Linked DNA regions of Mus musculus. The protein of the gene in region 1 interacts with the protein of each later gene in a pairwise test. Links are inferred from orthologs where the notes say so. Each region holds a gene or a part of one and is shown in the gene's direction. Other genes may lie near its edges.

Region 1 (3,808 bases):
AGGAAAACTCGGAGGGACAGGGTGCACAGATTGCAGTCTGTGTGTCACTTGCCTCCCCCAGCCCTCCTGAGGGCCTCTAGGCGTCGTTGGTTCCCAGAAGCATAGACTCCAGCCGCTTCCTCAGCTGCACATCCCTTACCCCCCACAGTGCCGCTGTCGCCCGGGCTTCCGGCTAAAGGACGATGGCAGGACCTGTGCCGACCTGGATGAGTGCAGCACCACCTTCCCCTGCAGCCAGCTCTGCATCAACACCCACGGAAGTTACAAGTGTCTGTGTGTGGAGGGCTATGCACCCCGTGGCGGTGACCCCCACAGCTGCAAAGCTGTGACCGGTGAGACGGGCACTTGGAGGGTGAGATGTATTTCAGGCAGCTGTGGGATTGGGCAGCAGGTGGCAGGTAGGGAGAGGGCTTGATACAATGTAGCTGGAGATAGCCTGGGGTACCAGGGCTGCTGGAGATAGCCTGGGGGACTAGAGGTGCTGGAGATAGCCTGGGGGACCAGAGGTGCTGGAGATAGCCTGGGGGACCAGGGCTGCTGGAGATAGCCTGGGGTACCAGAGCTGCCAGAATATACCTAAGCTTGGAGCTGAGCCGAGACCCTCCTCCTACAGATGAGGAGCCATTTCTCATCTTTGCCAACCGGTACTACCTGCGGAAGCTCAACCTGGACGGCTCCAACTACACACTGCTTAAGCAGGTGCCAAAACCAAGCCTTCTTTACACCCGTTGTTGACTGCCCGGGCCCAGTATGGCCTCCCCAGTTCTTCCCACCGCCAGGCCATGGTTGTCTCCTTCTCCCTCTCCCTCCAGCCACATCCTGACTCCAGACATCCTTCCCCAGATACACATGTGCCCCTGCGGCAGCTGACTTCCCTGTCCCCATCCCAAACCCAGGGCCTGAACAATGCGGTCGCCTTGGACTTTGACTACCGAGAGCAGATGATCTACTGGACGGACGTGACCACCCAGGGCAGCATGATTCGCAGGATGCACCTCAACGGCAGCAACGTGCAGGTGAAAACAGAAGGCTGCCCCGTGTCGGCTGACAGGCACACCAGGGCCCCGCTGACGAGCCTCACACCCTCCCCATAGTCCTTTGCTGTAAAAGAGTCTCCCCTTCTCTCACACCTGTCAACACTGCTTCGCCCTGCTCCTCCCTGAGCCACAGAAACGTTCTGCTCGCTTCACCTTCCCCTCCTCTCAACTCAAAAGTATGCAAGCACAGGAGACTCCTCCTGCCTTCCCTTGAGTTCTGTGTGCTCTAGGCGTGTGTGGGTGGCCCCAGAGACCCCCTGCTTGGAGCTCCTGGTGATAGCCACTTACGGTCAGGAGAGTGGAGAAGCCATGCCCCGGAGACTGAGGGTGCCACCAGCTCCTCCTTCCCTGTGTTCCTTACAGGTTCTGCACCGGACGGGCCTTAGTAACCCAGATGGGCTGGCTGTGGACTGGGTGGGTGGCAACCTGTACTGGTGTGACAAGGGCAGAGATACCATTGAGGTGTCCAAGCTTAACGGGGCCTATCGGACAGTGCTGGTCAGCTCTGGCCTCCGGGAGCCCAGAGCTCTGGTAGTGGATGTACAGAATGGGTGAGTGGTGGGCAGAGGGGTTGGGGGAGCCCTAGAAAACACCCAAGCCCGGACAACCTGCAGGCTCCTGGTGGGAACAGTCTCTAGACTCTTAGGATTCACTGCTCCCCACCTGCCAGGTACCTGTACTGGACAGACTGGGGTGACCACTCACTGATCGGCCGGATTGGCATGGATGGATCTGGCCGCAGCATCATCGTGGACACTAAGATCACATGGCCCAATGGCCTGACCGTGGACTACGTCACGGAACGCATCTACTGGGCTGACGCCCGTGAGGACTACATCGAGTTCGCCAGCCTGGATGGCTCCAACCGTCACGTTGGTCCGTATGCTAGAGAGGCTGCCCAAGGCCAGCAGACCTGGGGGGCAGGGATCTAAAGGGTTTAGGGTGGCAAGAAGGCAAAGTGTGCAGAAACCACAACCCAGAGGTCTTGGGGTTTCAATACCCTGGCACTTCTCTGGGATGGGCCCAGACTCCAGGCCTCAATCCAGCTCCTTAGAGGAACAAGGGCTATCCCCTGTGCAGCTCAGGATAATGGCCTGAGGGGTGGGCACATGAGGACTTCCTGAAGAACACCTGTGCTTCACACTTCCTGAGAGAAGCTGTGACCTACTCCAGAGCAGTGGTATGGCTGCTGGACAGCTATCGCTGTTGAGCCTTAGGAAGTCGTAGAAGCATCAGGACCTGGGATTCATTCCCATCTCAGGGTTGTGATGGGGTTTAAGGAAGACAAGTAGGCACAGAACCTAGCCTGTACTCGGTGCCCACTACTGCTGTGTCTCCCATAGTGCTGAGCCAAGACATCCCACACATCTTTGCGCTGACCCTATTTGAAGACTACGTCTACTGGACAGACTGGGAAACGAAGTCCATCAACCGGGCCCACAAGACCACGGGTGCCAACAAAACACTCCTCATCAGCACCCTGCACCGGCCCATGGACTTACATGTATTCCACGCCCTGCGCCAGCCAGATGGTAATCGAGCAGAAAAAGGGGGGAGTGGCAAGCCTAGTCCAAGCATGAAAGGCCTGTTCTCAGCCAGGGTCAGGTTCCCTCCCCGGCACTGACTGAGCGTTCCTGCTGGGTCCCGAACTTACAGAGGCTATAGGTCCCCTAGCAGCTTCAGTCTGCCCTGGGCTCAATGTGGGGTCTCTGACAGCCAGGCCCTAAAGTAGTAGAGAGCCCAGAGATTAGTGAGTGTGGACCAAGAGCATCAGAGGAAACCCTGAAAGCAGACATATTCAGGGTAGGATAGAGATGTACCAAGGAGGCCAGACATCCTTTAGAAGGCTGGAAACCATTCCCGGCAGGACCCACCCTCACAGTCAGAGAAGCCAGTGGGCAGCCATGACCCTTCAACCTCTTTCTCCTGGCAGTGCCCAATCACCCCTGCAAAGTCAACAATGGTGGCTGCAGCAACCTGTGCCTGCTGTCCCCTGGGGGTGGTCATAAATGCGCCTGCCCCACCAACTTCTATCTGGGTGGCGATGGCCGTACCTGTGTGTCCAACTGCACAGCAAGCCAGGTGAAGTTCCTCCTAAGATGCCCATGCTGCAACACCCCAATCCCCTGACCCCACACTCCTGTTTCCCGGCACCCACTAATGCCTGCACCTCTGGCATGCCGACACCCGCACACTTCCTGCCTACCTCTTGTGTCCTCACGGCAATCCTTGTACACTGCCACCTTATAAACACCTCTAATACTGATCTCAGGAGGACCTAGAGTCCTCGCCTTCCCATGCTCTCCCTGTACAGACACCCCCTTGTCTGGCTTTCCTAGGTCCATTGTAGCCCTGCTTTCTGTCCAGCTCTGCCACCCCACAAACTCCCACTATGTCCCTGAAACGTTTCCACCCCGTGAAAGAAAGCCTTCTGAGTTCCTCATACCCTTTCCAACCCCTCTTGCCCACCTGTCCTCCAGTTTGTGTGCAAAAATGACAAGTGCATCCCCTTCTGGTGGAAGTGTGACACGGAGGACGACTGTGGGGATCACTCAGACGAGCCTCCAGACTGTCGTGAGTGTCCTCGACGCCCCCAAGGGATGGAGACCTCAGTGGCCTATTTGCTCCCTGCTCTTTCTTTTTTAGTGTGTGCGTGCATGCATGTGTGTATATCTATGTGTGTGTGTGTCTGTGTGCATGTGTGTGCCTGCATTTGTGTGTGTGCCTATGTGTCTGTGTGTCTGTGTACATGTGTGTACCTGCATGTGTGT
Region 2 (4,258 bases), on another chromosome or scaffold:
AGTTTGCACAGACTGTAGAACATTGGTCTGTCCTGCTCCATTTATGTGAAGGGCAGGGTCTGTGGCCAGAGGTGACCTGGCAGGGAGGCTCTCTGAGCCACCAAAAACGGGGACTCGAGTCTTGGTAAACGGTGTTGTGTGAGAAAACCCAATAGAGAACCAGGAAGAAAGCACAGCTAGACCCAGAGTGGGTGCAAGGAACAGAAGCAACCACAAAGCTCTCAAGAATCCGGCCCTGGGGATGAGGAAGGTCCTAGGCCTTAGGGTAGGAGAAGCCAGTTCAGGACTGTGTGAGTGCAAAAGGGGTGCTAGATAGAAAACGCAGTGGGAAGACAGGTGCTGAGAACTGGGCACAGGAGTTCACACTAATCCCCCAGTTTAGCAGGAGACTCAAGAAGATTGTCATCAGTTCTTAGTCAGCTGAGGCTACATGGTAACTTCCAGGACAAACTGGAAATGAAAGAAAAACAAGTGATGGGGTAGTCCTGGCATACAGAGGCTTCACAGGGCTAAGAAACCAAAAGCATCACTCAGGTTATCAGGGGTGGTCAGGGCTCAAGGGGGTCTTTGCTGAAGGAGGCAGAGGCAGGAGGATCACGAGTTGGAGGCCAGCTTGGGCTACACATTTTTAGGCCGGGCATGGTGGCGCACGCCTTTAATCCCAGCACTTGGGAGGCAGAGGCAGGCGGATTTCTGAGTTCGAGGCCAGCCTGGTCTACAGAGTGAGTTCCAGGGCTATACAGAGAAACCCTGTCTCAAAAATCAAAACAAAACTAAAGGGTGGGTCTTGATAGAGGTGGCCTTCAGAGATTTCTGCGGGAGGTGATCCCAGTGCACAGGTGGGTGTTCCCAGCTCCCAGGGACAAGTATTTCTATCGTTTTTCTTCCTCCCCATGCTCATGGAGGGCTCATATTCCATTTCACACATGGGAAAGACAAGCCTTGGAACTATGAGGTCACTAATGCAATTCTCCACTGCCTGTTCACTTGTGGAACCAAGCTGTGGTCTTAGGTCACCTGGCCCCATAGCTGACTGCTCTTGGACCCCACTCCACCACCATCTCTCCTTTCTCAGCCATCTTCTGTAACCCTTTTCCTACCCCAGTTGCTGTGGAAGGCCAAAGACGGACTTGGGGAGCAGGATCTTGCCATCCGCTGATGCCCTCGATCTAGGTCCAGCTCTGAGGAGAGCAAAGCTTTGCCAGTGCTTGGAATGTCCCTGGGATGTGTAGGGAGGCCGAGGGGACCCAGGGCCACGGGATCGAAGCGTCAGCACTTCGGAGAGCGCCGGGGCGGGGCGGGGCGGGGGCGGGGCCACAAGACCCCAGCCGGCCCGGGGGCGCGCGCGGGGCGCTCTCGCGGGGGCCGCAGGCGAAGCGGCGCGCTGTCCGGAGCCGCGCCCGCCCCAGCTCAGTCCGAACCCCGCGGCGGCGGCGGCCTCCTCCACGCGCCTCCGCTGCTGCCGCCGCCGCCGCCGCCGCCGCCTCCCGCGCCGCTCTCCGCCCGGATGGCCAGGGCTGCACCCCGGAATGGCGGAGCGAGAGAGCGGCCTGGGCGGGGGCGCCGCGTCCCCACCGGCCGCTTCCCCATTCCTGGGACTGCACATCGCGTCGCCTCCCAATTTCAGGTAAGGATCGAGGCCCGGAACCTCGGGATCCTTGGAGACCCTGAGGGCGGCGTCCTTTCCCGGCCGAGCCCCCAGCCCCCACAACCTCCAGTCCAGGTTGGTGGCCACCGCGTGGCCCCCCGCAGCTCCTTCTGCCATTCCGTGTCATGGGGTGGGGTGATTGAGGTGGATCTGGGGCAGGAACCTGGGAGGTCGCCTTTCCCCTCCACCTTGGCGGGAGTGGGTCTGGGGTTTGGATGGAATTCCCGGTGCAGCAATCCGCCCAGACTTTATCCTGCCGCGTTCAAGGTATCTAACCCAAGGTGGAAGTAGGCTAAGGGGTTGGGGGCCCAGAGGCCCCAATTCAAAACCCTTGGTCCTTTAAGAAGAGTCGTGAACCCCTCTCCCAGCTAGCTTGGCCAGATGGGTCAGATTGCTAGGCGATCTTGGACAGGGTCTTCTGAATTTGGGCAGCTCCCTGGTCAGTTGTATCTCAGGACAGGTGCAGAAGGATTGGCCTCAACCAGTGAAACCCAATTTGCTTGAGGGAGGGGAATCTGCCTGTGGATATCCAGGGATACTGTTGGGGGGTCCCCACTGTGTAAAGACTCAGGACACCGAACTGAGCTCCTCTTTGACCCACCCCTCCATCTGATGTTAGACCAGGTGAATGAATTTCAGAGATGTAAGGCATGATGTGTTGAACCGGTGACTGTCCTCTCTTCACCTTTTCACACACATACACACATACACACACACACACACACACACACACACACACACACACACACACACAGAGAGAGAGAGAGAGAGAGAGAGAGAGAGTGACGAAGAAGAGAAGGGTGTCACTGCTCCAGAATGTAGAAGCTGAGACATACCTCATTGTTTCCCCATCAGGAGCAGGCGCCTTTCTCTCTCCTGGGACCCTTGCTCCAGCCAGGCCCCAGCTGGGCTCTGGCGCCAAGTTGTCATCTATTGAAGGGGTCTCTAGCTCCCAGGTCCTCAGGTGGGCAGACACACACACACACACACACACACACACACACACAGACACACACACACACACACACACACACACACACACACACACACACACACACACGATCTTAAATGGTATGATCAGGCCCTGAATCCTCCAAGGAGGCCCTAAACCCAGCTGAGAGAACCAGAAGGAGGGGGCCAGAGGATGGTTCCAAACCTGAGGAAAGCCTCCAGGCTAATGCTTCAGATTCTCCCTGGTAGGTCAGGCCTTTGCAGGGGAAGAGAATTAGCTGCGAGGGACAGAGGTTCGAATCCTGTTTCCACTGCTTCCTCGCTGCCTGATCCAAGCTTGCTTTTGTCTTTGGTCTCATCTGTGGAGTGGGTTAATTAATATTGATTCCTGCCTGGGAAGGAGACAGTATGCACCAAGTCACTGTTCAACAGGTAGCCGGCCACACTGGCAGAAATCTGTACAGCTTGTTTCTGTCAAAGTGTTTCTCCAGGGTAGTTCACTGAACCTTCACAACCATCCTGAGGGCCCACCCTAATCTGCCCTTTGCTGAGCTGAGGCGATGGAAGATAAGGAAGGCAGAGGGGCTAGCCTAGGAACCACAGAAAAATCTGACTGGAAGGTCAGGACTGGAACCTGAAACCAGGTCTCAGCCTTCTCTGTTCCCTCTCCCTATAGGCCCTATCTCTGGCCCAGGGTAGGCTCACACCCTATTCTGGCAGGAAATTGTTTATCATACAGGCCCGAGAAGCCAAGATGAAGGCTACTAGCCAGGGAATGTGTGGCCAACTCTGGGCTATGTAGAGCGGGGGCAACAGTATAGCAAAAGGCTGAGTGAGGAGTGGGCTGGCCTGCAGGACACTGTGCCCTAGCTGTGAGACAAAGCGGGCTTTGGAGATAACACTGGGCAGTGGGGCCCTACATGGCCTACTGCCTACTTCAACAACCCCCACTGCCCTTTCTCTTGTCCTGCTTCAGCAGCCACTGGTCTGGCTCCATTTAACCCTGATCTTCGATGCCCATCTTGTGACTCTTTGGTAGGGCTGTGGGTTCAACTGTTCTTTTGTTTTGTTTTGTTTTGTTTTGTTTTGTTTTGTTTTGTTTTGTTTTGTTTTGTTTTGTTTTTCGAGATAGGGTTTCTCTGTGTAGACCTGGCTATCCTGGAACTCACTTTGTAGACCAGGCTGGCCTCAAACTCAGAAATCTGCCTGCCTCTGCCTCCTGAGTGCTGGGATTAAAGGTGTGCGCCACCACGCCCGGCTGGTTCAACTGTTCTTAAAGCTGTGTACTCCACCACTACTGCGTACTTAAGCCCTTTGGGTCCTTGTTTTTCCTTTAATTTGTCTGCCCCTAATCAGGATGGTTCTAGAACTCAGGTGTGTGTGTGTGTGTGTGTGTGTGTGTGTGTGTGTGTGTGTGTGTGTGTGTGTGTGTGATTTCTACTCTGAGCTTCTAGGATGTGTAAGCAGTCTATGTCAGTGCTCTGCTCTCCGCACGACTCAGTCCAGAACAGGTGCTCAGCAGGGCTGGTTTACTACGGATGAAGGGTGGACGCACGGGGCCGTTTCTCCTGGAGAACAGAGTAGTGGGAAGCACCGTGTTGAGAACCTCGTGGGTCCAAGCGTGTGTGCTGCTGTAACCATGTGAATGGGTTAGTACTA

The links.
Region 2: the proteins of Lrp1 (region 1) and Mapk8ip1 interact in a two-hybrid assay, tested with the Homo sapiens proteins (2 studies listed by BioGRID). The link is inferred for Mus musculus from reciprocal best matches to the Homo sapiens genes LRP1 and MAPK8IP1.

The regions. Positions count from the first base shown.
Region 1 is NC_000076.6:127,551,472-127,555,279, reverse strand, and holds part of Lrp1 (prolow-density lipoprotein receptor-related protein 1 precursor), read left to right. Parts: intron 1-148; coding exon 149-332; intron 333-613; coding exon 614-699; intron 700-896; coding exon 897-1,016; intron 1,017-1,400; coding exon 1,401-1,588; intron 1,589-1,707; coding exon 1,708-1,913; intron 1,914-2,380; coding exon 2,381-2,569; intron 2,570-2,970; coding exon 2,971-3,119; intron 3,120-3,517; coding exon 3,518-3,611; intron 3,612-3,808. UniProt on the Homo sapiens protein: Endocytic receptor involved in endocytosis and in phagocytosis of apoptotic cells. Required for early embryonic development. Involved in cellular lipid homeostasis.
Region 2 is NC_000068.7:92,398,398-92,402,655, reverse strand, and holds the start of Mapk8ip1 (C-Jun-amino-terminal kinase-interacting protein 1), read left to right. Parts: upstream 1-1,392; 5' UTR 1,393-1,529; coding exon 1,530-1,627; intron 1,628-4,258. UniProt on the Homo sapiens protein: The JNK-interacting protein (JIP) group of scaffold proteins selectively mediates JNK signaling by aggregating specific components of the MAPK cascade to form a functional JNK signaling module. Required for JNK activation in response to excitotoxic stress.